Linked DNA regions of Anolis sagrei. The protein of the gene in region 3 purifies or fractionates together with the protein of the main gene of each other region. This does not show direct contact. Links are inferred from orthologs where the notes say so. Each region holds a gene or a part of one and is shown on either strand. Other genes may lie near its edges.

What was found.
Region 1: the proteins of NUP107 (region 3) and NUP37 purify together in Homo sapiens (affinity purification with mass spectrometry; 7 studies listed by BioGRID and IntAct, with this or other methods). This does not show direct contact. The link is inferred for Anolis sagrei from reciprocal best matches to the Homo sapiens genes NUP107 and NUP37.
Region 2: the proteins of NUP107 (region 3) and TPR fractionate together in Homo sapiens (co-fractionation; 4 studies listed by BioGRID and IntAct, with this or other methods). This does not show direct contact. The link is inferred for Anolis sagrei from reciprocal best matches to the Homo sapiens genes NUP107 and TPR.

The regions. Positions count from the first base shown.
Region 1 is NC_090025.1:171,478,594-171,486,736, reverse strand, and holds the start of NUP37 (nucleoporin Nup37), read right to left. Parts: upstream 3,219-8,143; 5' UTR 3,147-3,218; exon of another isoform or gene 3,081-3,146; intron 2,293-3,080; 5' UTR 2,237-2,292; coding exon 2,081-2,236; intron 1-2,080. Other genes in the region: PARPBP (PCNA-interacting partner), read left to right, coding at 6,451-6,600. UniProt on the Homo sapiens protein: Component of the Nup107-160 subcomplex of the nuclear pore complex (NPC). The Nup107-160 subcomplex is required for the assembly of a functional NPC.
Region 2 is NC_090024.1:120,611,765-120,620,322, reverse strand, and holds the start of TPR (nucleoprotein TPR), read right to left. Parts: upstream 3,111-8,558; 5' UTR 3,057-3,110; coding exon 2,906-3,056; intron 647-2,905; coding exon 542-646; intron 1-541. Other genes in the region: ODR4 (protein odr-4 homolog), read left to right, coding at 7,111-7,209.
Region 3 is NC_090025.1:143,085,449-143,093,884, reverse strand, and holds the start of NUP107 (nuclear pore complex protein Nup107), read right to left. Parts: upstream 3,392-8,436; 5' UTR 3,314-3,391; intron 92-3,313; 5' UTR 90-91; coding exon 32-89; intron 1-31. UniProt on the Homo sapiens protein: Plays a role in the nuclear pore complex (NPC) assembly and/or maintenance. Required for the assembly of peripheral proteins into the NPC. May anchor NUP62 to the NPC. Involved in nephrogenesis.

The DNA.
Region 1 (8,143 bases), about 28 Mb from region 3:
AATGAATCCTAGAGCACTTCTAGACTGCATACAAGGTCAATGTATGTCTATTTAGAATCAGATTTTAAATCTAGACCCAGATTAGCACAACTACTTCTGTCTTAACATTAGATTTCATATTGGTATTTCCTATTAATTCTAGTTCTTCCTTCAGAAATCCAAGGTTGCAGTTGCCTCCCTGAGATTACATGGTGAAAAAAGTACAGAAGGGGTAAAGATGCTTATTAGTTTAATACCTCAACACAAACCTATATACAGAACTATCAGTGGGTTATGTAGATGCTGAAAGGTATTTGGGAGAAGACTGAAACCAGGGAAACTATAATATTAATGACTAAAAAACTGGATAAAATGTCCTGCAACAACAGATTTTAAGTGCTCCTACCCTATGGAAAAAATAAACAACGATCAGCAATCTTTTCATCCTGGGCAGAGGTGATTAATAGGGTGGTGCACGGCTCTGCCCTAGGCCCAGTGCTGTTCAACATCTTTATTAATGACTTGAATGAAGATTTTGAAGGCATGCTTATATAGTTTGCAGATGACATCAAACTGGGAGAGACATCAGAATTCAAAATTACCTTAACATTAGTAGACCACAAGTTGAACATGAGCCAACGATGTAATGCAGCAGCTTAAAAATTCAATGGGAGTTTGGGCTGCATCAAAAGAAGTCTAGATCAAGGGAAGTCATGGTGCACCTCTAGTCCGCTGTGGTTAGACCACAACTGGACTACTGTGTCCAATTCTGGACACCACAATTCAAGAGAAGATATTGACAAGCTGGACGGGATCCAGAGGAGGGCAACTAAAATGATCAAAGGTCTGGAGACCATGAATCCCTATGAGGAGCACCTTAAAGAGCTGGGTATGTTTAGCTTGCAGAAGAGAAGGTTGAGAGGAGACGTTATTACCATGTATAAATATTTGAAAGGATGTCATAAGGAAGAGGAAACAGGCTTGTTTTCTGCTGTGCTGGAAACCAGGACTTGGAGCAATGGGTTGAAATTACAGGAAAGGAGATTCCACCTTAACATTAGGAAGAACTTCCTGACAGTAAGAGCTGTTCAGCAGTGGAACTCTCTGCCTCTGGTGGAGGCTCCCTCTTTAGGGACTTTTAAACAGAATCTGGAGGTGAAGGGTCTAAAAAGGAAGTCATTGCTTGTACAAGCAGAAAGGTACTGTTAACAAGAGGTTCCATATCTACAAAAGTCCACCTCCAGTTCTGTCAAAATTGTGGAAGTCACATAACCATAAAAATGAACAATTTTATTTCCCAAATGTAATACAATCTGAAGACAACAGGTTTATGGATTTTTTTTTTACCGATAACTTTTAGGGTATCAATCAAGTAAGATTAATTTGTTTCACAAGACCTTCAGTGGTCAACATCATGTAAATTCGATCATTTTAAAAATTACCATCATGGTCACAAAGTAGTTCCTACAATAGGAACTTAACTGTAATACGTACAATTTGGCAACTATGATGTCCTGTGCTGTTTCACATATCACTCTCAGCCTGGATATCAAAGAATGGGAGTTCTTAATATCACTTCCAAGACAGCTATCAGATCATTTAGTGCAGGGATCCTCAAACTAAGGCCCGAGGGTCGAATACGGCCCTCGAAGTTCATATACCCGGCCCTCGCTCAGGGTCAGCCTAAGTCTGAAACAACTTGAAAGCACACAACAACAACAACAACAACTATCCTATCTCATCAGCCAAAAGCAAGTCCACACTTCCCATTGAAATACTAATAAGTTTATATTTGTTAAAATTGTCTTCATTTTAATTATTGCATTGTTTTAAGTGTTTTTGCACTACAAATAAGATATGTGCAGTGTGCATAGGAATTAATGCTTTTTTCAAATTATAATCCGGCCCTGCAGCAGTTAGAGGGACTGTGACCTAGCCCTCTGTTTAAAAAGTTTGAGGACCCCTGATTTAGAGGCACTATTAGACAGTGAAGTGGAACTATATCAACAATCTTCCCAACATGTTTCTATTATCAAACACTGGAAACTAGCTGAATGGCTAACATGGTACCTGGTCACTGTTAACTATAATGCACACTAACCTGAAACCTGCAAGTTCCAACAACCACATAATGATTGCCACCATATGCTATCAGAGAATCTGCAGTTCCGCTCTCAAATGGGCTGAATTCCACCACATGCACATAATCTTCACATTCCACAGTATAGGATGCACTTCGGGAAGCTTCCTGTTTCATCTTCAGCGGAGGTATTCTGAGTAACCAGATGGAAGACTCCTCAGCTGGACAAGGAGCTAAATAGTAAACATACACATAGTTAGATAACGAGGCATGTAGCCGGGGAGGAGGGGGGGCTTGAGGGGCTTCAGCCCCCCCCCCCCGAAATTCTCATGGTGGTCCGCGAAAAGGCCTTTCTGGTGCATTATTTAAACTGTTATGTTTATTCATATCATGATCTGATCACCATGCTCAATATATCCTCCTGAGGTTTGTTTGTTTCTGGCATGCCAACCCCAATGTTTCGCAATCAAGACATGCAGAAAGGAGGGCAGAATCAAAAGTTTATTGCTTCAGTTGCCAAGGAAGTATGCCATGGGAATTACCAGATTTGACATATGCTTCAGTTAGGAGGGGATTCAGAGTGGTACGCAAGAAGGCCTTACTGGTGCATTATTTAAACTGTTATGTGTATTCATATCATGATCTGATCACCATGCTCAATATATCCCATATGCATGGGGGTATTGGGATAATGATACAAAAGGTTTGCTAGGCTAGACCCTCTTTCACTCAGACTCAGCCCCCCACCAAAACTCAGCCCCCCCCCGAAACCCCCCCCCCGAAAAAAATTTAACCCCCCCCCCCCAAAAAAAACCCGAAATCCTGGCTACGGGCCTGTAGATAACTCTCATTGTTCCAAATAATAATAGTAATAATAACAAAGCCCCACAAAACGTTTTTGGTGTCTTGCTTTTTAGGGATGTCTCTGGGTTTATTTGGGGGGCCAGTTCAGAAAATTGCATTGGATAGAACCCATTAGCACTACTTTCTTAGATATAGATATCAATGAACGTTCCCTTACTTAGAGCGGCCTGGGGTGTTGAGCGGCCGGTGGATTCCCACGCAAACAATCCCTTCGCTCGCTCACCTCATTCGTTCTGTTACTCTCCCGCGAAGAATTCGTGAGGCAGCTGCGCTTCCGGGTGAGAGTCTCTTCCGGGTCGCCGCGGGTCCCGCTTTCCGATTGGTTGAGACGCGCAGCGTTCGAATTCAAACCTCCGCCGCTGACAGCTGCTTCTTTGGCTCTGTGGAAGGAGCCTCCTTGGAGGGAGCGCCTCGAGGAAGGCCGCAGTGCCCAGGTGAGGGGCGTGGGGCTCCAGTGGGACTCGACTCCACCTGAACTGCCCTGGCTCAAGGCTATGGGACCCAGGGAGTTGTAGTTTTACAAGGTCTACAAGGCCTTTCTCCATCTCTGGCAAAGAGTGTTGTCCCTCACCAAACTACACCTCCAAAGATTCCATAGCATTTAATTATCGCAGTTAAGGTGATCTCAAACTGCATTAATTCTACAGTGAAGACTAGGCCTGGGCAAACTTGGTCCCTCCAGGTGTTTTGGACTTCAACTCTCACAATTCCTAACAGCCTATCGGCTGTTAGGAATTGTGAGAGTTGAAGTCCAAAACACCTGGAGGGACCAAGTTTGCCCAGTCCTGATATAAATATTGCGAAAAGGGACAACAGAAGTGTAGTGGTTTGAGCACTAGACTGTGACAGTGGAGACTTGGGTTCAAATCCTTACTTGGCCAAGGAAACCCTCTGAATGGCTTTGTCCGAATCTCATCCTCTCTGTCTTAGAGCAAAACAAAGGCAAACCCCACTCTAAAGAAATCTTGCCAAGAAAATCCTATGATAGGTTTGCTTTATTTATTTATTTACGACATTTAAATGCCACCCTTCTCGCCCCGAAGGAGACTCAGAGTGGCTTGCAAGATATATATGCATACAATATATTAAATTATTAGCATAGTATAATATCAGTTGTACTGGTCCATTGGAGGGAAAGATAGTAGAGGCAAAAATGAAGTACTGCATCATGAGAAGAATGGAAAACTTAGAGAAGACAGTGATGCTGGGGGAAATGAAAGGAAAAAGGAAGAGAGGCCGACCAAGGGCAAGATGGATGGATGGCATCCTTGAAGGGACTGGATTGACTTTGAAGGAGCTGGGGGTGCTGACGGCCGACAGGGAACTCTGGCGTGGGCTGGTCCATGAGGTCACGAAGAGTCAGAAACGACTGAAGGAATGAACAACAACAATATCAGTATTATATATTACTATATTGTACTACACCATTACATTGTAATATTATTAGTAATTTTAAAGTAATATAAAATATATAATTATAATATTATATTATTAGTAGTAGTATTATATTGTATTACATTATAATATTATAAATATTATATGTATATACAATATATTATATTATTAGTATAGCACAGGAGACAAGATGGAACTGTCTTCAATTGTAACCCTCTCTCTCTTCACTCTGCCCAGAGCAACTCCCAATTTTAGAGCCAGCATAAGTTAGAAATGAGTTATCGATTTATTTATCATGTCAGAAGCAAGTTGAGGGTACAGTTAGAATGCATTTAAAAAACACAAAGTTTAAAAGAACTTGGCATTATGCTAAATGTCCTTTGACCTGAAGTTGGCCACTTGGAGTGCCTCAGGTGTCACTGTGGGAAGGCCCTCTGTTTTGCATGTGGCAGGGCTCAGGTTACATTGTAGTAGGTGGTCTGTGGTTTGCTCTTCTCCACACTTGCATGTCGTGGACTCCACTTTGTGGTCCCCATTTCTTAAGGTTAGCTCTGCATCTCATGGTGCCAGAGGGCAGTCTATTCAGCGCTTTCCACTCTTCTGTGTGCCCAGGAGGGAGTTTATCATCCAGTCTCAGCCACTGATTTAAGTGCTGGATTTTAGCCTGCCACTTTTGGACTCTCATTTGCTGAGGTGTTCCCGTGAGTATCTCTGTAGATCTTAGGAAGATGTTTCTTGATTTAAGGTGTTGGCATGCTTATTGATATCCGAACAGAGGATGGGCCGAATATGTCACTGCCTTGGTCCTTTCATTGCTAACTGCTACTTCCCAGCAGATGTCAGATGGTGCAATACCAGCTAAACAGTGTAATTTCTTCAGTGGTGTGGGGCGGCATGTCTTATTAAGAGTCACATCCACTGTTTTAATGTGGTGAGATGTATTCCACACTGGGCATGCATAGTCAGCAGCAGAGTAGTAACTCACAAGGGCAGATTTCTTCACTGTGTCTGGTTGTGATTCCCAGGTTGTGCCAATCAGTTTTTGTACAATATTATTTCTAGCACACACTTTTTGCTTGATATTCAAACAGTTCTTCTTATAGGTTAGAGCATGGTCCAGAGTGACTTCCGTGTATTTTGGTGTGCTGTAATACTCCAGGGATTCATCTTAAGAAATGACTTGAAGGCACATAACAAATTTCTTCCAAGGAGCCTAGGCCCAGCTGTAGATGTGAGTCCTGTTCACTAAGTCAATGTAGATAAACCTTCCCCGGGTTGTTCTCTTTTAGATGTGTTTAATTGCAACTTGTATCCCATTATAGACTAGAATATCTGGACAGGTTCCAGGGCATGGCCGATGATAAAGATGCTTTATCATATCTGACAAGGAGCCCCCAGTGACGCAGTGGGTTAAACCCCTGTGCCGGCAGGACTGAAGACTGACAAGTCACAGGTTCGAATCCGGGGAGAGGCGGATGAGCTCCTTCTATCGACTCCAGCACCCCATGCAAGGACATGAGAGAAGCCTCCCACAAGGATGATAAAAACATCAAATCATCCGGGCGTCCCCTGGGCAGCGTCCTTGCAGATGGACAATTCTCTCACACCAGAAACGACTTGCAGTTTCTCAAGTCGCTCCTGACATGACAAAAAAAATCGTATCTGATGCCCTTTTTTGAAACCACCTTTCTAAAATCTAAAATTCTAAAATAAATTGTGTTCTTATGTTGAAAGTGCCATTCCTGTTTAATTGTGCAGTACTTTGAAAGTAGTTATAGTCCAGAAACTACATTGTTGTAGCTGTCACAAACTATGTTGAATTGGTTGAAATTATGAGATATTCATTGAAAAATATGGCAAAATGTGCTGCAGTGTGGGGCTGCATTTGGCTGATGAAAGAGTCAAGTTAATTAAGATTGTTGTTGTTTGTCTTCAAGTCGTTTCAGACCTAGGGCAACCCTAAATGTAAAGTTTAGACTGGGGGCCAGGTAAATAACCTTGGAGCACCGCATTTGGCCCATGGGCCTTAGTTTGGGGGCCCTTGCGCTAGTCCATCTTTTCCATTTGAATGTTCACAGGTCCTCTCTCTCAGTTATGTTCATTTTATATCTTGTTTTATTTGTTTTAGGATCATGTCATTTGTCCAGCAAAGAATCTTGGATATGATTCGGTGTTTTCGAAAGGAATGGCGCTTATATTCAGATTCTGAAAGGACAACTGTATGTGGTATAGACTCCATGCTGGTGGCTTTGCAGCTATCAGTTGCAGAAATCAATAAAAAGGTTAGTGTACTAAGAGACAGTAACTGGCTTGACCTTGAGCTCTGATGTGGGCTGCTCCATGAGATCATGAAGAGTCTGAAGCGAGTGAACGAATAAACAACAAAACAACAACACATATTCATTGTTGCATTTGTAAACTGCCCAAATTAAGTTAATATGTCTGAATTATTTATTTGTTCAGAACATTTATACCCGTCCTTCTCAATCTCTGAAGATGGACTCAGGACAGCTTCCAACAGGCAACTATTTGATGTCGACACAATATAATAAAATAACATAAAATACAATTAGCATACATTAAAAACATTAAAACAGTTGCTGGTTCAAATCGACATCCAAATCAGTCCACTGCAGTCCATTTAAAGCTTATCTTCACCAGTAAATCAGTCTATTCTGCAAATGCTTGATCCCACAGCCAGGATTTGAGTTTCTTCCGGAAGGTCAGGAGGGATGGGGCAGATCTAATCTCATCAGGAAGGGAGTACCACAGCCGAGGGCCCTGCCTCATACCCACGCAACTGCAATGGCGTTAGGACCGAGAGTAAGGCCTCTCTGGATGATCTTAAGGTCCTTGGTGGTTCATGGAGGGAGATACGTTTGGACAGGTAAACTGGGCAGGAACCATTTGGGGCTTTATAGGTTAAGACCAGCACTTTGAATTGTGCCCGGAAACTAAAAGGCAGCCAGCGGAGCTTGCGTAACAGGGGAATTGTACATTCCCTGTTCCCCTCTCCCGTGAGCAACCTGGCTGCTGAGCGTTGGACTAGCTGAAGCTTCCGAGCAGTCTTCAGAGGCAACCCCACATAGAGTACATTGCAGTAATGTATTCGGGATGTAACCAGAGCATGGACCACCATGGCCAAGTCAGATTTCACAAGATATGGGTGCAGCTGGCACACAAGTTTTAACTGTGTGAAAGCTCCCCTGGCCACCGCCGAGACCTGGAGTTCTCTGCTGGCATCATAAACTGGACACAGGCAGAACTGGACAATTTGGACAGAAAAACTAGAAAACTCATGACCATTCATAATTCATTACATCCTCACAGTGATGTCAACGGGCTCTATCTGCCTAGAAAGTCTGGGGGCAGAGGACTTTTACAAGTAAAACAAGCAGTCGAAGAAGAAAAACACTCCCTGGCAGAATATGTAAAGGAAAGCCAAGAACCTGCTTTAATTGAAGTCAATCAGAAACTTCTCAAAGCACAGCAAACCAAGAACCAGTACAAGAAAACTGCACTCCAAACCAGAGCTGACAGCTGGCACAACAAAGCTTTGCATGGGCAGTTCCTTGAGAAGATTGAAGGAAAAGTTGACAAGGAGAAGACCTGGTTATGGCTCTCATGAATGGAACCCTGAATAAGGAGACAGAAGGCCTGATTCTTGCAGCCCAGAAGCAAGCCATCAGAACCAATGCAATTAAGGCCAGGATTGAAAAATCAGCGGATGACCCAAAATGCAGACTATGCAAGGAAGCTGATGAAACCATGGATCATATCCTCAGCTGTTGCAAGAAAATTGCACAGACGGACTACAAACAAATA
Region 2 (8,558 bases), on a different chromosome or scaffold from region 3:
AAAAAAATTCCGATTTGTAACAGTTTTCTAAATAGAATTTTTAAATGTACCAAACCTGGTAATTTTATTCCATACTTGAAGCACAGTTTAAATCACTGTTACTTTGTTCTGAAGTAACAAAGTGATTTTCAATCTATAAAAGATGCTAATATTGGATTATTTTCCAATTATATATGGAAATTTGTATTACCTGCAATTATTTGGGGGGGGGGGGCGGGGGGAGAGAAAGCTTTCATCCGATAAGTGTTGGAAGTATTACATCTCCACATATCCCTCCTTGTGCCTCTTCATGTTCCCTATGTGCTCATATCCCTCCCCCGCCTTTAAAAAGTATTTTAATGCCTAAATGTATGCTTTATTCACAGTCTTCTGGTTCTTTTAATGCTGACCATTGACTAAAATAAAAATGTTCTGTTCTGTTCATCTCCACATACAAACCACATACATGGGTTGAATATGTCAATATTTGTCTTAACATTTCACACAAAAGATTCAATTAACAATATCTAACAATGAAATATTTTTAAATCACCATACTTACTGAGTTTGTGGAGTTCCTGTTGCAAATTCTGACATTCTTGTGTCTCATTTACAAGTCTCTCCTGACTCTGAGCCAGTCGTTTTTCCACTTCAAAATACTGTTGTTCTGCAAATACCCAAATAACATTACTTCAAAACGTGTTTCTTCAGGATATTATACAAATAAGTCTCCACAAAAGCATTCTGGAGTATACGCTCGACTCATGAAAAGCACCTGTACTCCAAGTGAGAACAGATGAGATTATTTGATCCAAGAGGTCTGCAAAATGTCACAGAAACTAGGAAGACATCACAATTTCCGAGAACCACAGCACAGAACCACAGCACAGAAGATTTCAGAAGGTGTTCACTTTAGACTGTATTTCCTTTCATTTTCTCTGACCAGAAGCACCAAACAAATTCTATTCCTCATTCTACAGACTTTACTCATGGTATCCCAGAGTAGAATGCCATATGCTGCATGCGTTTCTTGGAAACTACAATACATTTATGGAACTCCCTTGTCCCACATGGTTGTCTGACTTATCATATTTACTCAAGTCTAATGTGCACCTTTTTGGCTAAATGACCTTGCAAAAATTAGGGTGCACATTAGATTTGATAACGCTCAAAATTGGCTACCTCCCTCCCTTGATTTGTTGGGTTCTGTGGTACCTCAGAGATGCCCATTCACCCTCCTCTTCCTTACCTGCTCCTGCTGGGAACTGGCAGCAGCAGCAACGCACAATTCCATCTCTCCTTCTTTCCCCCCTCACTGTCCCTCAACTGGCACCAGCCCTTTGCCTTTCCTAATGGCAGAGAAGGGGCATCTACACATGGAAGTCAGCCTAGAGGCTGCTGGTTAATAAAGCCTTTCCTCCATCTTCCTCCATTCCTTTCTACTACCCGCCCCCCTCCACTCAACGATTGAGGAGGGAGAAAACTGGCTGGTTGAGGAGGGAAAGAGGGAAAAAACTACACTACCCTGCTTTCCTATTTCCCCCCTCAAAAAAGCCCGCTCAGCTCCTCTCCCTTCAGCTGAATGTTGGCTGGTTTGAAGTGGAAAGGAGGAGAGGGAGAAGCAGGGAGAAGGCAGCTGCTCAGATTCAGTGGGCCCTGAAAGAAGAGGAGGTGGAGGAGGAAGGGCTGCCGCCACCACCGCCTTCCCACAGTCAAGGAAGTGTTTGGCAGCATGTTTTCCCCAAACTCCTTAGAAAAAATGCATTTTTCACTTCATCATCAATTAAAATTTTATTACAATCCAAAGATCAATTTAGTTTAGTGGCTAAAAGTGCACAAATGTAAACAGATTAATAAACTGCTAAAACTACACACAGGATGGCATGCAATACAAGATACATATGAACATGGGTAAGAATGCTGCAAATAGATACAGGGAAAGTTTCAGCCTGAAACTAATACAGAAAGTTATCCTATCCTTTTCACTTGATAGAATACCTTTCTAGGAATCTTTAGATCCATAGGGTTATGCTAGCTGACCCAGAGATTCTAAGTCTCTGGGTCCTCCAGCACAACTTTACATTCAACTTCCAATAGAGAAGCTCCTAGAGACCATATTAATCCAATTCATGAATTCTTCCCATCTTTTCCTTCCTTCCTTCCTTCCTTCCTCCCCCCCCCCCCCCAAATTATCAGGGTGGTCCGCGAGAAGGCCTTATTGGTAGATTATTTAAACTGTTATGTTTATTCATATCATGATCTGATCACCATGCTCAATGTTATCCCATATGCAAAGGGGGTATTGGGATAACGATACAAAAGGGTTGCTAGGGTAGATCCTTACCCACCCCCCAACCCCGAATCAAACTCAGCACCCCCCGAATCAAAATCCTGGCTACGGGCCTGATCCAGGGAATTCGGTATCCAAACCCCAGCCTACACAAAGGGCCACGAAATTATAGCTGCGTTCTCGCGGTCCTCCTTTGACTCCAGGGCTTGAAACCAATGGCCCTTTCTTTCATAGAATCATAGAATCAAAGAGTTGGAAGAGACCTCATGGGCCATCCAGTCCAACCCCATTCTGCCAAGAAGCAGGAATATTGCATTCAAATCACCCCTGACAGATGCCCATCCAGCCTCTGTTTAAAAGCTTCCAAAGAAGGAGCCTCCACCACACTCCGGGGCAGAGAGTTCCACTGCTGAACGGCTCTCACAGTCAGGAAGTTCTTCCTAATGTTCAGATGGAATCTCCTCTCTTGTAGTTTGGAGCCATTGTTCCGCGTCCTAGTCTCCAGGGAAGCAGAAAACAAGCTTGCTCCCTCCTCCCTGTGGCTTCCTCTCACATATTTATACATGGCTATCATATCTCCTCTCAGCCTTCTCTTCTTCAGGCTAAACAAGGTCTCTCTTACGAGGCCTCACTCACCGCTGTCCACCTTGTAGCGCTCGTGCCGGGTGCGAAGCGCGTCGATCTCGCTCTGCTGGTCGGCCAGGAAGCGCTCCAGCTTCCCCTGCACGACCTTGGGCAGCTTGGCCAGCTCGGCCCGCTCCAGGACCTGCTGCAACACCACCGCCATCTTGGCCTGCGATCTGCTCCAGAGAAGGCCAGGGCGCGGAGGCACCGGCGCGCATGCGCACGGATGGACTGGCGCGTGCGCAGAACGCTGCCGCCGCTCCTCAAACCTAAGAGGTAGGAGAGCGGCAAGCTGCTTTTTCCCTTTTCTACGTTTTTCACGTGGAATGCTTTGGTTTCATTCGCAATTTTAGGCGGCTTTCCTTTCCCGCGAGGCGGAAATCCCACAAGAGAACTAAAAAAAAAAAGAGGAGCAATTTAGTGGAATCGCTCTACTTCCGCCACACTCACAATGGCAGCCGCGCGCGGGCTGACTTGAGCGGCTGATTTAGAAACTGCGCGTGTGGTGTCGTCATCACAGTGCGCCCCGTTTTGGGCGACCAGGAGATGACGGAGGTTAGGCCACCTCAGTGTGTACGGCAAGAGGGAGCCAGCTGGTGCCTTGGTGATGGGGAAGCTGCCTTGACAGGGTGGAATACATGCAATAAGGAAACCCCTCTTTGGTGAGAAGGAGAAGGCCGCTTTGGTTGCATTCATAGGCGGGAAGGAAGGGAAGGGGGAGCCTTCGCAGGCAAAATCTCAGAATGGAAAACAGATTGTGAATTGATCGAACTGGGATAGTGGAACTGCACAGAAGGAGATCTTTTCCTGTGTGGTGTTGACTCTCCTCAGCTGTCACTTTGGCATTTTACATAAAAAACTCTTATCAGCCCCTTCTACACTGCCATATAATCCTGATTGTCAAATCAGACAATCCACATCTCCTTTGAACTGTATTATATAAATCCGCATAATTATTCATTTATTTATTATTTAAACTTATATGCCGCCACTCCCCTGGGGCTCGGAGCGGCTTACAAGGATAGCTAAAATCTAACAAAGTTTAAAAGCAATTTAAAGCAATTTAAAAACAACAGTATCAAACATTAAAAGCCTGTCAGAACAGGTATGTCTTACATGCCCTGCGGAAAGCTGGTAAGTCTCGCAGGGCACGAACTTCAGGTGGCAGAGCATTCCAGACTGATGGCGCCACTGCTGTGAAGGCTCTGCGTCTGGTTGCCGTTAGACGCAAGGTCTTGACACTGGGGACTTCCAATAGATCTTGGTCCTCAGAGCGGAGGGATCTCTGGGGTTGGTAGGGGGTGAGACGATCCCTCAGATACATTGGCCCCAGACCATGCAAGGCCTTAAAGGTGAGTACCATCACTTTGAAAGTGATCCAGTGCTCAATTGGTAACCAATGCAGCTGTAGTAAGATTGGTGTTATGTGGCATCTCATCGGAATTCCCGCAAGAAGCCGAGCAGCTGCATTTTGTACCAACTTGAGCTTCCGAATCACCGACAGAGGGAGGCCAATGTAGAGGGCGTTACAGTAGTCCAGCCTTGAGATGACCGTGGCCTGGATCACCGTAGCTAGGTCGTCCCTGGACAGGTAGGGGGCCAGCCGTCTAGCCTGCCGCAGGTGAAAGAAGGCGGTTTTGCTCACGGCGGAGACCTGGGCCTCCATTGTCAGCAGAAGGTCCATTGACTGCTCATTGGAGGGAAGAATAGTAGAGGCCAAGATGAAGTACTTTGGCCACATCATGAGAAGAAAGGAAAGCTTAGAGAAGACAATGATGCTGGGGAAAATGGAAGGAAAAAGGAAGAGGGCAAGATGGATGGATGGCATCCTTGAAGTGACTGGATTGACCTTTTATTTATTTATTTATTTATTTGCTTTATTTCTATACCGCATTTTTCAGCCCGATAAGGCGACTCAATGCGGTTTACACAATGAAATTATCACAATAACATCAATACTATCACAACAATATCCTAAACAATTAAAACACATCATATACAGCAACAAAATCAAACAATCATTAACAATTCATAACGCCTCAATATGAAATCAGAATCCGTTCTCGTAATCCTTGTGCCATTCCTGAGATCAAATTTTACCGTCCTCCTATATTCAGTTGCACTGTTTAGCCAAACGCTTGTTCATAGAGCCAGGTCTTAACCTTCTTCCGAAACGCCAGCAGCGAAGGGGCCTGTCTGATGTCTACAGATAGGGCATTCCATAGCCGAGGGGCCACCACCGAGAAGGCCCTGTCCCTCGTCCCCGCCAAGCGCGCCTGTGACGCAGGCGGGACCGAGAGCAGGGCCTCCCCGGACGATCTTAATGTCCTAGTCGGTTCATAGGTGGAGATGCATTCGGAGAGGTAAGTAGGGCCAGAACCGTTTAGGGCTTTATAGGCTAACGCCAGCACCTTGAATTGTGCCCAGTAGCAAATTGGCAGCCAGTGGAGCTGGCTCAACAGAGGAGTGGTATGCTCCCTGAGTGCCGCTCCCGTTAGCAACCTGGCTGCCGAGCGCTGGACCATCTGAAGCTTCCGGGCAGTCTTCAAGGGCAACCCCATGTAGAGCGCGTTGCAGTAATCTATGCGGGATGTAACCAGAGCGTGGACTACTGTGGCCAAGTCAGACTTCCCAAGGTACGGGCGCAGCTGGCGCACAAGTTTTAATTGTGAATAATTTAATAATGTAATTTAATAATTTAATTTAATAATTTAATAATCCTTGAAGGAGCTGGGGGTGGTGACGGCCGAGAGGCAGCTCTGGCGTGGGCTGGTCCATGAGGTCACAAAGAGTCGGAAACGACTGAACGAATGAGCAACAACATATAAATCCACATTGCCTTATAATCCAGATCAAAGCGCATACTCTGGATATTATATGTCAGTGAAGAAGGAGAATCCCTTTCATATAAATACTGCAGAGACAATTATAGGTTTTGGAGATTTTTTGGAATTTTTCAGGATTCTGGAATCCTGAAATACTCCCAAATCTAAAATTGTCCACCCAAGTTGCTTGAGACAGTGTCACTTTGTTTTCCAGTAGGCCACTGTATGTAAAGCGTTTCATGACCAATATTATTTAAAATCTTGTGTATAAAACAACTTTCAGGCTATGTCTGCAAGATTTATAAGAAAGCCTAATAAAATTCCATGCTGGGTGCCATCTCTCAGATATCTCATTATGCAAATATTCCCAAATCTGAAGTCCAAAACATCTCTGGTTCCAAGCATTTTTAATAAGGAAGACAGTTCCGTCATCATCATGGTTATACAGGGTGAGTCAGCATAACTTCCTTTTTTAAAAAGCGTGCCATTCAGTTGGTTGAAGACGTAACAGAGCGTTAGTGGTCTCGTTCAAGAGGTGGGAGTATAAAGTTTTGTCCTGACACAGTTCAGTCGCCATCATGCGTTGGAACAGTGAGGAGCGTGCTTTTGCTGTTGAGGCCTACTTTTCGAGCGGATTTGGAGTGGCTGGCCCGCTCTCCAGATTTGGCCCCTTGTGATTTTTTTTCTATGGGGTTTTTTGAAATCCTGTGTTTATGTGAGCCGTCCAAGATTTAAAGACCAACATTCAGGAAGAACTGGCCAATATAACACCTGCTATGCTGGCAAGAGTCATGACAAATGCCAGAAATTGATTTACTCAGTGTATGGAGAATGGGGAACGTCACCTACCTAATTTAATCTTCAAAACTACGTAAAACAAAATTTTAGGTATGCGCCTACATTATAAAAAAATCTGATTCATACAATGGGTTTTATTAAGTTTTTTAAAAAGGAGGTTATACTGCCTCACCCTGTATTATACTTTAATTTAATCTTCAAAACTACGTAAAACAAAATTTTAGGTATGCGCCTACATTATAAAAAAAATCTGATTCATACAATGAGTTTTATTAAGTTTTTTAAAAAGGAGGTTATCCTGCCTCACCCTGTATTATACTGTGTATTTCTACCCTGCAGCTCACAAAAAACAATACTATCAAAAAAACCCCACAAAAGTCAGGTTTAAAATAAAGTTAAATTGCTTACAATCCTTAAAACAATTAAAATACAATTAAAAAATAAGTAAACACCTGTTAGAAACAATTCAGCCTAAAACTACTCAAAGCCCCCTAAACCATTATTAGGATACTTTCTCTTTTAATTCCAAGCACTTTTCATTTTCTCTCTCCTTGTTTTTAATGGTTTTTGCTGGGCTCTTAGATACTAACAATCATGGGAAGAAGCTGCTTTGTTGAAGAAGCTGTGGGGCAGTATCTCTTGGATCTCATCACCACTTCAAAACCTTTTGCCATTGGTCTCTTAGTGGGGCAGGTGAGTGTCATGTGATGTTTGGTATACTAAAACATCCCTCTTGGTTTTGAGTGTTTCTTTCCTAAGTAGAAATTATCATGCAACTTTTATTACATCTTGAAGTTTCTAGCTTTTAGTATTTCGTGTCAAGAGCACTGCATAAAATAGTTTGTCTCAAACGGATAAAATAAAGTGATCACAAGCTGTTAGATAGTTTTAGACCAAAAACGGGTAACAATGCTGTCCGTAGCTTTAAACAGTTCTTCCTCTGTGCACGAGGCAGGGCATTGAGGGCAAGCATAGAGATGCTAAGTTGCTTGTTCTGCTCCACAGTTGCACAAGATGGAGGATTCTTGTAGGAGTGCCATTTTTCCAGGTTGTTTTTGATCTGCCCACTCCACTTCTGAGTCTGTTCAGGGACTTCCAAGTTTGCCCCTGGAAGAAGACCCTCATGGGGGGCCATCCAGTTGGAATTGCTTGATTTTGCTGCCCACAGGGATATTATTTGCTTTTACTGGAGGAACATTTAGAGGAGTGGTGGTTCTCATGAAACTTTTCCTTGATTTAAGTCTACTGGGAGGAGGCTGGTAGCCATATAGTGGGTGGCTTTCACAGTGTTGAACCTTATTTCTCTTTTAACTGGCAGCAACTTCCCATTGCACATAGGAGGGGGGGGGGGATGCCAGCTAACTTATAGAGTCTATTAACAGGTGTAGGTTTAAGACTTTATGATTGTTCTACATTTCTCATTTATTCACCTGCCTCATATGAGCAGATTTATGCCAATTGGGGCAGGCATACTCAGCATTTGAGTAAAATAGTGCCAGGGCTAATGATCTTATTAATTTTGGGTCTGTGTCCCATGCACAATTAGTAAGTTTCCGCAGAATGTTACTGTGTGTAGCTATTTTGTACTTGTTTGCACAGTATTTCCTAAATGTTAGCGTTCGATCTAAGATGATGCTTAGATATTTAGGGTGGAAACAGTGTTCAAGCTCTTGGCCTTCCCAGATAACCTTCAATTTCCTGTTGGCTTCACAATTATTTTTTATTTTATTTATTTATTAATCAATTTTATATACCACCACTCCACAAAGGCTCGGATCGGTTTACAATATACACATGTGATTATGTAGATGGAAAGCACACACTTGTGTCTTGGCAGGTTAGGCTTCAAGTGGTTATCTTTGTAGTAGCTGGAGAGATCCTTCAAGGCATTTGTAAGTTGTTTTTCGATTGTTTCAAAGTCTTTTTGCTTGTGTTATTAGCCAAGGTTATCAGCATATAGAAAGCTCTTTGTGAGTGGTGGCTGTGGCTGATTGTTAGTAAACGCTGCCTTGGGATAAACCATTCTTTTGCCTCCTCCATAT
Region 3 (8,436 bases):
GACCATTCTAATAGGCCTCAAAAAAGGATACTCGAAACTTTTTTTTGCGAACTCTGCTTCCGAACTGGCTGAGTTATTTCTTCAGACATTTCTGGAAAGGGAAAAGAATCAATGAAACTAATTTGTATTGCAATGTATCCTTCTCTGTTTCTATTGAATGAGCAATCAAGCAGGAAGAGTTCGGAGAAACGCAATTCTTAGCTTTGTCTCTTTTTCATTAAGAGAAGAATTGCTTGTAGCTATGAATAATATAGTAATAATAAAACACTTCTAGACTGTCCTCTTTTTCCAAGAGGACTCAGGGCGGTTTACACACACAAAAAGGCAAACTTTCAAACAAGTACAAATACATCAAGGCAATATGACATGATACAAAATAACAATAGTGAACTAATTGTCTGAAGAATGCAATTAATGAAGAAAATTAAACATCAAAAATGAAAAACATGATACAAATAAACACATAAAACAAAGTACATTAAAACATAATTAACATTAAAACATCTGACGTAGTAAAACAATTAAAATAGATGAACAATGGCTGTTTTAGTTGTTCTTTAAAGTGTACCATGATGGCCATGGGGCACAAGTAAGTCAGCCAGCATTCCAATGGCATTATTGTGGGTCCCCAGGTGTTTTGGCCAACAACTCCCAGAAATCCCAGCTAGTTTACCAGCTGTTAGGATTCTGGGAGTTGAAGGCCAAAATATCTGGGGACCCACAGGTTGAAAAACACTGGTCTAGAGTATCCCAGTCCTCCTTATTATGAAAACATAAGGAATACAAACCAGAATAAAATAAAATAAGAATAGTACAATGAAACAGATTGCAAAAATAAAGTCTGATTGAAAGTTCAGAATCCTACATTACAAGTTCTAGAAAGCCTGCAAAAGCAGAATTAGTTTGCTTAGTACCAGTATGCTTGTACAGCACCAGTAACATGACAATTAACATGGGTACCCAGGCAGGCCTGCTCTAGAGAGAAAATCTAGCAGTGAAGTGCCGCTATTGAAAAGATACTCCTTCTCATTGTGTTCAGATGGCAAGGCACCCAGAGAAAGATTTGAGGATGAAGGCCTTCATAGATTTCTGGACTGATGCAAGATGGGGGGAAAAAACCAAATCAGGCCGGAAGCCAAAGTAAGTTTATCAGACTTGTTGCACTTGCATATGCAAGCACATACACACACTCCACTTTTTGAAAACCATTGATCTCTAAGAGAGCCAAACTTGGAAAATTTTCAATTTTTAAAGTCTAGTCCCTATTGACCATTCTATCTGAAGGAACCTGGCTATTGGGGTCCAAAAGAATAACACTTTCAAGTTGTGGGAAGAAAAGGGGAATAAATTAATGAGAATAATGTGAGAAACAGCTGTCAGCCACACTAATATTCCAAGGAACGGTGAGAATGAATGAATAGATACTGTAAAAGCACACCTGTCAGTCACATAACATTCCAAGGAACAGGGTGAGTGAATGAATGAGAACAGTGTAAAGAATACTTGTTAGTCACAGTAATATTCCTGTGGAATGGTATGAATGAATGAATGGCTATAGTATAAAGAACATACCAGTTATTCCAATATTCCAAAGAATAGTGTGAATGAATGAGAACAATGTAAAGAACATCTGTCAGTCACAGTAATATTCCAAGGAACAGTGTGAATGAATGAGAACAGTGTAAAGAACATGTCAGTCACAGTAATATTCCAAGGAACAGTGTGAATGAATGAGAACAGTGTGAAGAACATCTGCCAGTCACAGTAATATTCCAAAGTACCTACTAAGGTTAATTCTCTATGAAGGAATGAGAGGAACACCTCAGGCAACTGATTTTTCCTGCAGTCGCCCAACCACAGATTCAATCATCCATGGTTTGAAAACATTTTTTTGAAATCCAAAAACCAAACCTTCAATTTGCCAATACATACAAAGGCCACAATTTTACTATGCCGTTGTGTATGATGGGATGTGAGCACCCATGGATTTTGGTTTTTTTAATGCTTATTTTTTTATTATGTGTGTTTTTGGCATCTAATTGTTGCCTATATATATAAGCTACCTTGAGTCCCTTACGGGGTTGAGAAGGCCTGGGTGAAAATACAGTAAATAAATAATAAAATATACATACTTAGCTGGGAGTAAGCCCCATTTAACAGCCCACTGTTTCAAGAAAGGGGGAGCACAGTGTCTAGATCTAGGGAAGTAATGCTACCCCTCTATTCCACCTTGGTTAGACCACACCTGGAACAGTGTGTCCAATTCTGGGCACCACAATTGAAGAGAGATGTTGAGAAGCTGGAATGTGTCCCAAGGAGGATGACTAAAATGATTGAGGGTCTGGAGAACAAGCCCTATGAGGAGCACCTTAAGGAGCTGGGCATGTTTAGCCTAAAGAAGAGAAGGCTGAGAGGAGATATGATAGCCATGTATAAATATGTGAGAGGAAGTCACAGGGAGGGGGGAGCAAGCTTGTTTTCTGCTTCCCTGGAGACTAGGATGGGGAACAATGGCTTCAAACTACAAGAAAGGAGATTCCATCTAAACATGAGGAAGAACTTCCTGACTGTGAGAGCCGTTCAGCAGTGGAACTCTCTGCCCCGGAGTGTGGTGGAGGCTCCTTCTTTGGAAGTTTTTAAACAGAGGCTGGATGGCCATCTATCAGGAATGCCCATGAGGTCTCTTCCAACTCTCTTTGATTCTATTATTCTAAATTCAAATACATGTTTACTGGACTGGGGGAGGTTAATCGTTTTTAGCTACAGTGAAATAATTGAGAATTCCTAACATAGCTAATGTTACCTATCTTTTGTGGGGCTGTCTCTTTCACCTTCCCCATAATAGAGACAATCCTACGTCCCTCACAAAACTGTATATCCCAGAGAAAAGGTGATTAAATTGCCATCCAAGCAGTGCAGTGTGAAAGCGAACGGGCACTTCCGAGAGGCTCAATGCTCGAGCATCCCTTATCTGAAATTCAAGACTTCAGAATCCCCAAGTGAGTGACTGAGACAGTGACACCTTCTGCTTTCCAATCCCCGGCTGAGGGGGAAAACCAAGGGGCCCGAGGCTGTTAAGAATTGTGGGAGTTGAAGTCCAAAACACCTGGAGAAAGGCCGAATCTTGAAGCTGAAGCGGCGGGAAAGAAAAGAGAAGAGGCCTTGGCTGCTTTGCTGAGGCGAAGGACATGCCTGAGGCCATTTCTTCCTCGGCTGCTGAACTATAGAAGGCGGGAGGGCCTCACCTCTCAACCCAATGCTCACGCCTCCCCTCCAGCCTTTGACTCGCCTATAGACCTTCCGCCATACTCACCTGCTCTCCACAGCCGAGTGCCGGCTGCCGCTTGTTGCTTGAGACTTCCCGCCCGCCGGAAGCGGAAGTGAAACTCAGGACCCGGATGAGGGCAGGAGGCTCTCTCCCGAGACAAGGGAATAGCTCCATGGAGATGTACACATGGCGCCCCCTGCAGGCGAGGAAGACCGCCTAGCCCCCACCGCTTTGGGCGTGGCGGGAAAGTTTTCCATCGCTGGAAGGAAGTTTGGGGCCCCTTCCTGACAGCTCAATCAAACCCCGCAGTATCTGCTTGGAACTGGAATATATGGCAGCGTGGACTCAGGGCCCTTCCGCACAACCATAAATCCCAGAATATCAAGGCAGAAAATTCCACAATATCTGCTTTGAACTGGGTTGTCTGAGTCCACACTGCCATGCATTTCAGTTCAAAGCAGATATTGGGGGTTATTTTGCCTTGATATTCTGTGTTAAAGGGCCCTCAGAAAACCCAGTTCAAAGCAGATATTGTGGGATTTTCAGCCTTGATATTCTGGGTTTTATGGCTGTGTGGAAGGGCCCTGATGAGAGATTGCAGGTTAAAGGTGCCAGAAAAGCCGCTATTTGACAACTGATGGGCAGATTCAGTGCCCCTTTTTTGGCATTTAATAATAATAAAACTTTATTTATACCCCGCTACCATCTCCCCAAGGGACTCGGTGCAGCTTACATGAGGTCAAGCCCACAGTACATCAGTAAACAAGGCAATAACAAAAACAATCAATACAAAACAATATAAATCACATAAACAAAAAATTTCCGAGTATTTGTATCATGAAGTCTAGGACTCGGGTCTAAATGCGAAATTCTTGTAGGGCTCAGACTTTAGACACCTACACGTGACCTAAACGGTACTACGCAGTACACAAAACCACCCTAAAGTAAAGGTGTCACTATGGGTGCAACTACTCTGCAGAATGAATGGGGTTTGATACTACTATAACTGGCATGGTTCAATGTTCTGGAATCCTGGGACTTGGGGTGATACTGGTACTCTTTGGCAGAAAGGACTAAAGACCATCCAAAACTAGAGCTGGCAGGATTTCACAGTATTCAGCCATGACAGTTCAAGTGGTGTCAAACTGCATTACTTCTACAGTGTGGATCAGGCATGGGCAAACTTTGGCCCACAATTCCGAACAGTAGGCTGTTAGGAATTGTGGGAGTTGAAGTCCAAAACACCTGGAGGGTGTAGATGCACCCCATCTGTTACCCATGTTGAAAATTTTGGAGTGTATTGGCTTTCCTTTATTGGTATTAGTGCATAAGTGCTGGTTTTAACCTATAAAACCCTACACAGCTCTGGCCCGGTTTACCTGTTCGAATGCATCTCCTCCTATAAACCATCAAGGATGCTAAGATCATCTGGAGAGGCCCTGCTCTCGATCCCACCACCTTCGCAGTCGTGGTTGGTGGGGATGAGAGACAGGGCCTTTTCTGTGGTTACCTCTGGCTATGGAACTCTCTCCCTGGCAAGATTAGGTCTGCCCCCTTCCTCTTATCAATCAGGAAGCAGCTAAAATCCTGGCTCTGGAATCAGGCATTCGCAGTTTGATAGATGATCCGGCATAGACGAAGATTCAATGAATAATTGGATTGAGTTGGATGATGTTTTTAACCTGATGATTGTCTTTTATATGCATTTTAGAACTTACTGTGTATGTTATTTATGTTATGTATTGTAAAGCATTGAATTTTTGCTATTAGCCGTGGTCTGAATCCCTCCACGGAGGTAGAGTAGAACGGGATACAAAAGTTCTAAATAAAAAATATTTTGATATATGCATCTTAATGGTGTTGCATTTGTTGGTTTTAACCATGTTGTACCTCACTTTGAGCCTTAATGTTCTTCTGGAAGGGAAGCTGTGCTTACATACATAGCTATGAAACAGAATGAACAGTTCTCTTTTTTGGTGCCATCCTGTTTTCACCAGGTTTTTCAGCCACTCATGCCCTAATGATGATAAAGCTTACAGATCCAACTACAAAAATGTTTTGAAAGCAAAGGAAAAACAATCCGTGCAAGGCCACACAGAAGAAGAGACAAAACCCATTCTTTTCCAGTGGCACAGGTAAAAGCAAACAGGTGAAGACTTCCTGGCTTGTATGTTCTTTATTAATAACTTTTGCCACATTCAGATGTTGCCTGGCCACGTGCATCCTGGTTTAATTCTTTGAGATGTTGCAAAATATGCTATCTCTTTCAGTCCTCCTTCAGAAAGAAAGGGCTTCCAAATATAGCTGGCTCAGCCATAGATGCATAGCTTTGTGAGGGCTCTTAATGGTACATAAAGGAGGATTTCATTGCAGCGTTTCTTGTTCTCTACCTGCTGAGGTCAGTCGTCTTTTCATCCATCATAAAATATGGGATCTCTGATGTTGTACACTTTTTCTATTCTTAGCTATACACTTTATCCTCTTTTTTCTTCTGAACTGAAGGAGTATCAAGGAAAGGTTCATAGATGAGTATTCGGTATCTGAGAATCAGCTACATTTCTGTGTTTACTTCTGCACCATCTGTGAACTTCCTAGATAGTGCAAGAAGAAATCCCCTGTGCTCTAAAATTAAAAGACCAGTCAAGCGATGCAAACAAAATCAAATCAATTAAGATAAGAAATAGGACATGAAATGTGTAGCCTAAATGGGAATTTCGCCATGAATGCTCTCTCTACTGCCAAGAAATCAACAAGCTGTATATTACCCTGTTGGTTCTTTACTTAGTTTTTGGTTCAGCTTGGTTTTAGGTTGCAAGACTTAAAACTTCATATTCAAGAATAGTTCAATGAGATTAATTAGATTAGTCCTTTCGAATCCCATTTCTAATAAGAAAGGAATTACTGGAGCCAGGTGTTTTTTTGTATCTAGAGGGCCCTTCCAGATTGATCTAAAGAGGTGAGAGGGTAAATAGAGCCCACAACAACAACTATATGTTGGGATTGTAGGAAAAAATCCTGAGAACTACAAAAAATGATGTAACTGCTTTTTACATTTGCTCCATTTGGAAGAGAAGCTTCAAGAAAGCTACAAAAATCAAAGTCATGAATAGATAAAAACAAAAGAGAAATATGTTCACAGAGTGTCTTTGGTTTTATCCCAATTGTATGAATGTATTAACGCAGTGAAATTAAAACAGACTATGCATGGTAAATTTAATTTATTAATCCCTAAAACAGAGTTATGGATCTGATAATGAAATACGTTTATATGATGTAAAATTAAAAAGTGATCAGTATTGGACTGGGATTTAGAAGAATTAAAACAGCAATGAAGATTGATCCAATTCCAAAAATTGCTGTTGAAATTTTACATTATTGGAACATTAGTGGTTTAGGAGCATACATCCATGATGACTTATTGGTGACAAATACCATTTTCTTGTTGACTTCTGTATCAACTGTAAACCCTATGTTCAAGTCCTAAATCCTTTTTTTGTCCAAGTATTTTAACCACCTTATGGCTAACATCAGCAAAAGATACAAAACATTCACTTATAGATAGTTGTAATGCAAGCCCTTGCATGGCAATCCAAATTTATTGAACTACTGATGCTAAGTCATACAAAATTGCACCACTTTTAATTAAGGCTTTTAGTTTACATTTGGCCACCTCAAAGCAGTTGTAACATTAGGTTGGTCAATTTAAATACTGTGGCTCCCTGTTGGATTTTACACGCAATCTTTACACCCAAACGTTAATGCATACAAAGCAACAAGGCATTGTTAAATAAATCAGCAAAAAGGTAATTACTGCAACTTAGGCCCTGGGACCAATTACACATGATTAAAATTACTTCCCACATTCACATCCACAGTACTCGTCCACCATTTAACATCTCAACCAAAACGTTACACATGTAAAACAATCACTAACAGGCAAAAGTACTAAACCTGTATATTTGGTATTGCAAATACACTTATGCATGAGCAAGCAAGGGAATTCACAGTGAGAATCTACAGCTGCAGAAGCCCAAAAATGATTTACAAAAAAATTGTTAAATCATTAAAAAATCGTTTTAAAATATACACTTCTTGTTGTAGACCCCCACTGTACACACAACTATAAACATTGTTCCCTATGTAAACAAGGAAAAGGAAACATACAATAAAAGGTTGAAAAATCTGGACATTTCCTTCCCAACAGATATTAAAGGCAATGTCTTTAGGCAGACATTATACTGAAAGGACTCATTTTAATAAGACTAGGTCACTGTCTCCACAGGTTTTTTATCCTAAAATTAAAAAACTAGATAGCTGTTGTGTTAATCAAAGCGCTTTTGTACAATACAATGATGATCCTGTATTTCTTTTAAAAAAGTTACAATAAGCTACAAATACCAATGAAGCAAAGTTATCTGGAGTAGTCTATATAGGAGCTCTTTGGACTTTCTTTTATTACGCTAAAATAGTGGTGCTTTTAGGATTTACATTATTGTACTCTCCAATAGGAAGTATGGGGTTTGTTGTAGATACAGTACAGTTTTCATACATGTACAACATTGGCGGATGAACAATGTCTCTTTATCTGTAATACTGGATGTAGGCTCTGGTTTTACCAGTTGCATACACATAGGTTATTTATAAGTAAAAATCTCTCGTGACACTGGAACGTGATTAGAATGTGCAAACTGATGTAGTAGCTGTCATCCGTTTCATAAGGGTACCACCATAGGAAAGTCCATTTAAGATGTTGGTAGGTTTAATAAAGTTGGAATGCTGGCACTGTTGTAGTCAGCAACAGTTCTTCAGACCTAGAGCAATTAGGAGAGAAACCAAGGAGATTTAGCATCTCAGGTGGAATCTCAGCAACAAAACAGCATCATTGTGTTTAAATTACAAGTATTTCATATTCCACGTGGTAGACTGCTTGAAGATTCTCATTCTCCTGAGGTTTAGCATAACTCATCTGTTATGCCATGATCTTCAAACAAAATATATTATTAAATATTCATAACAAAGATCAGGTCCAGAGACAAACTGAAATAGCAAGTGTTCGAGTACACTCATGACAAGTGCAATATGAATACAGAATCTATGGATGACTTTTTATTCCACTTCTCTCAAATGGCTGAAAACTTTATCCCGAGAGCTGCAAATGCCCCTTGGAG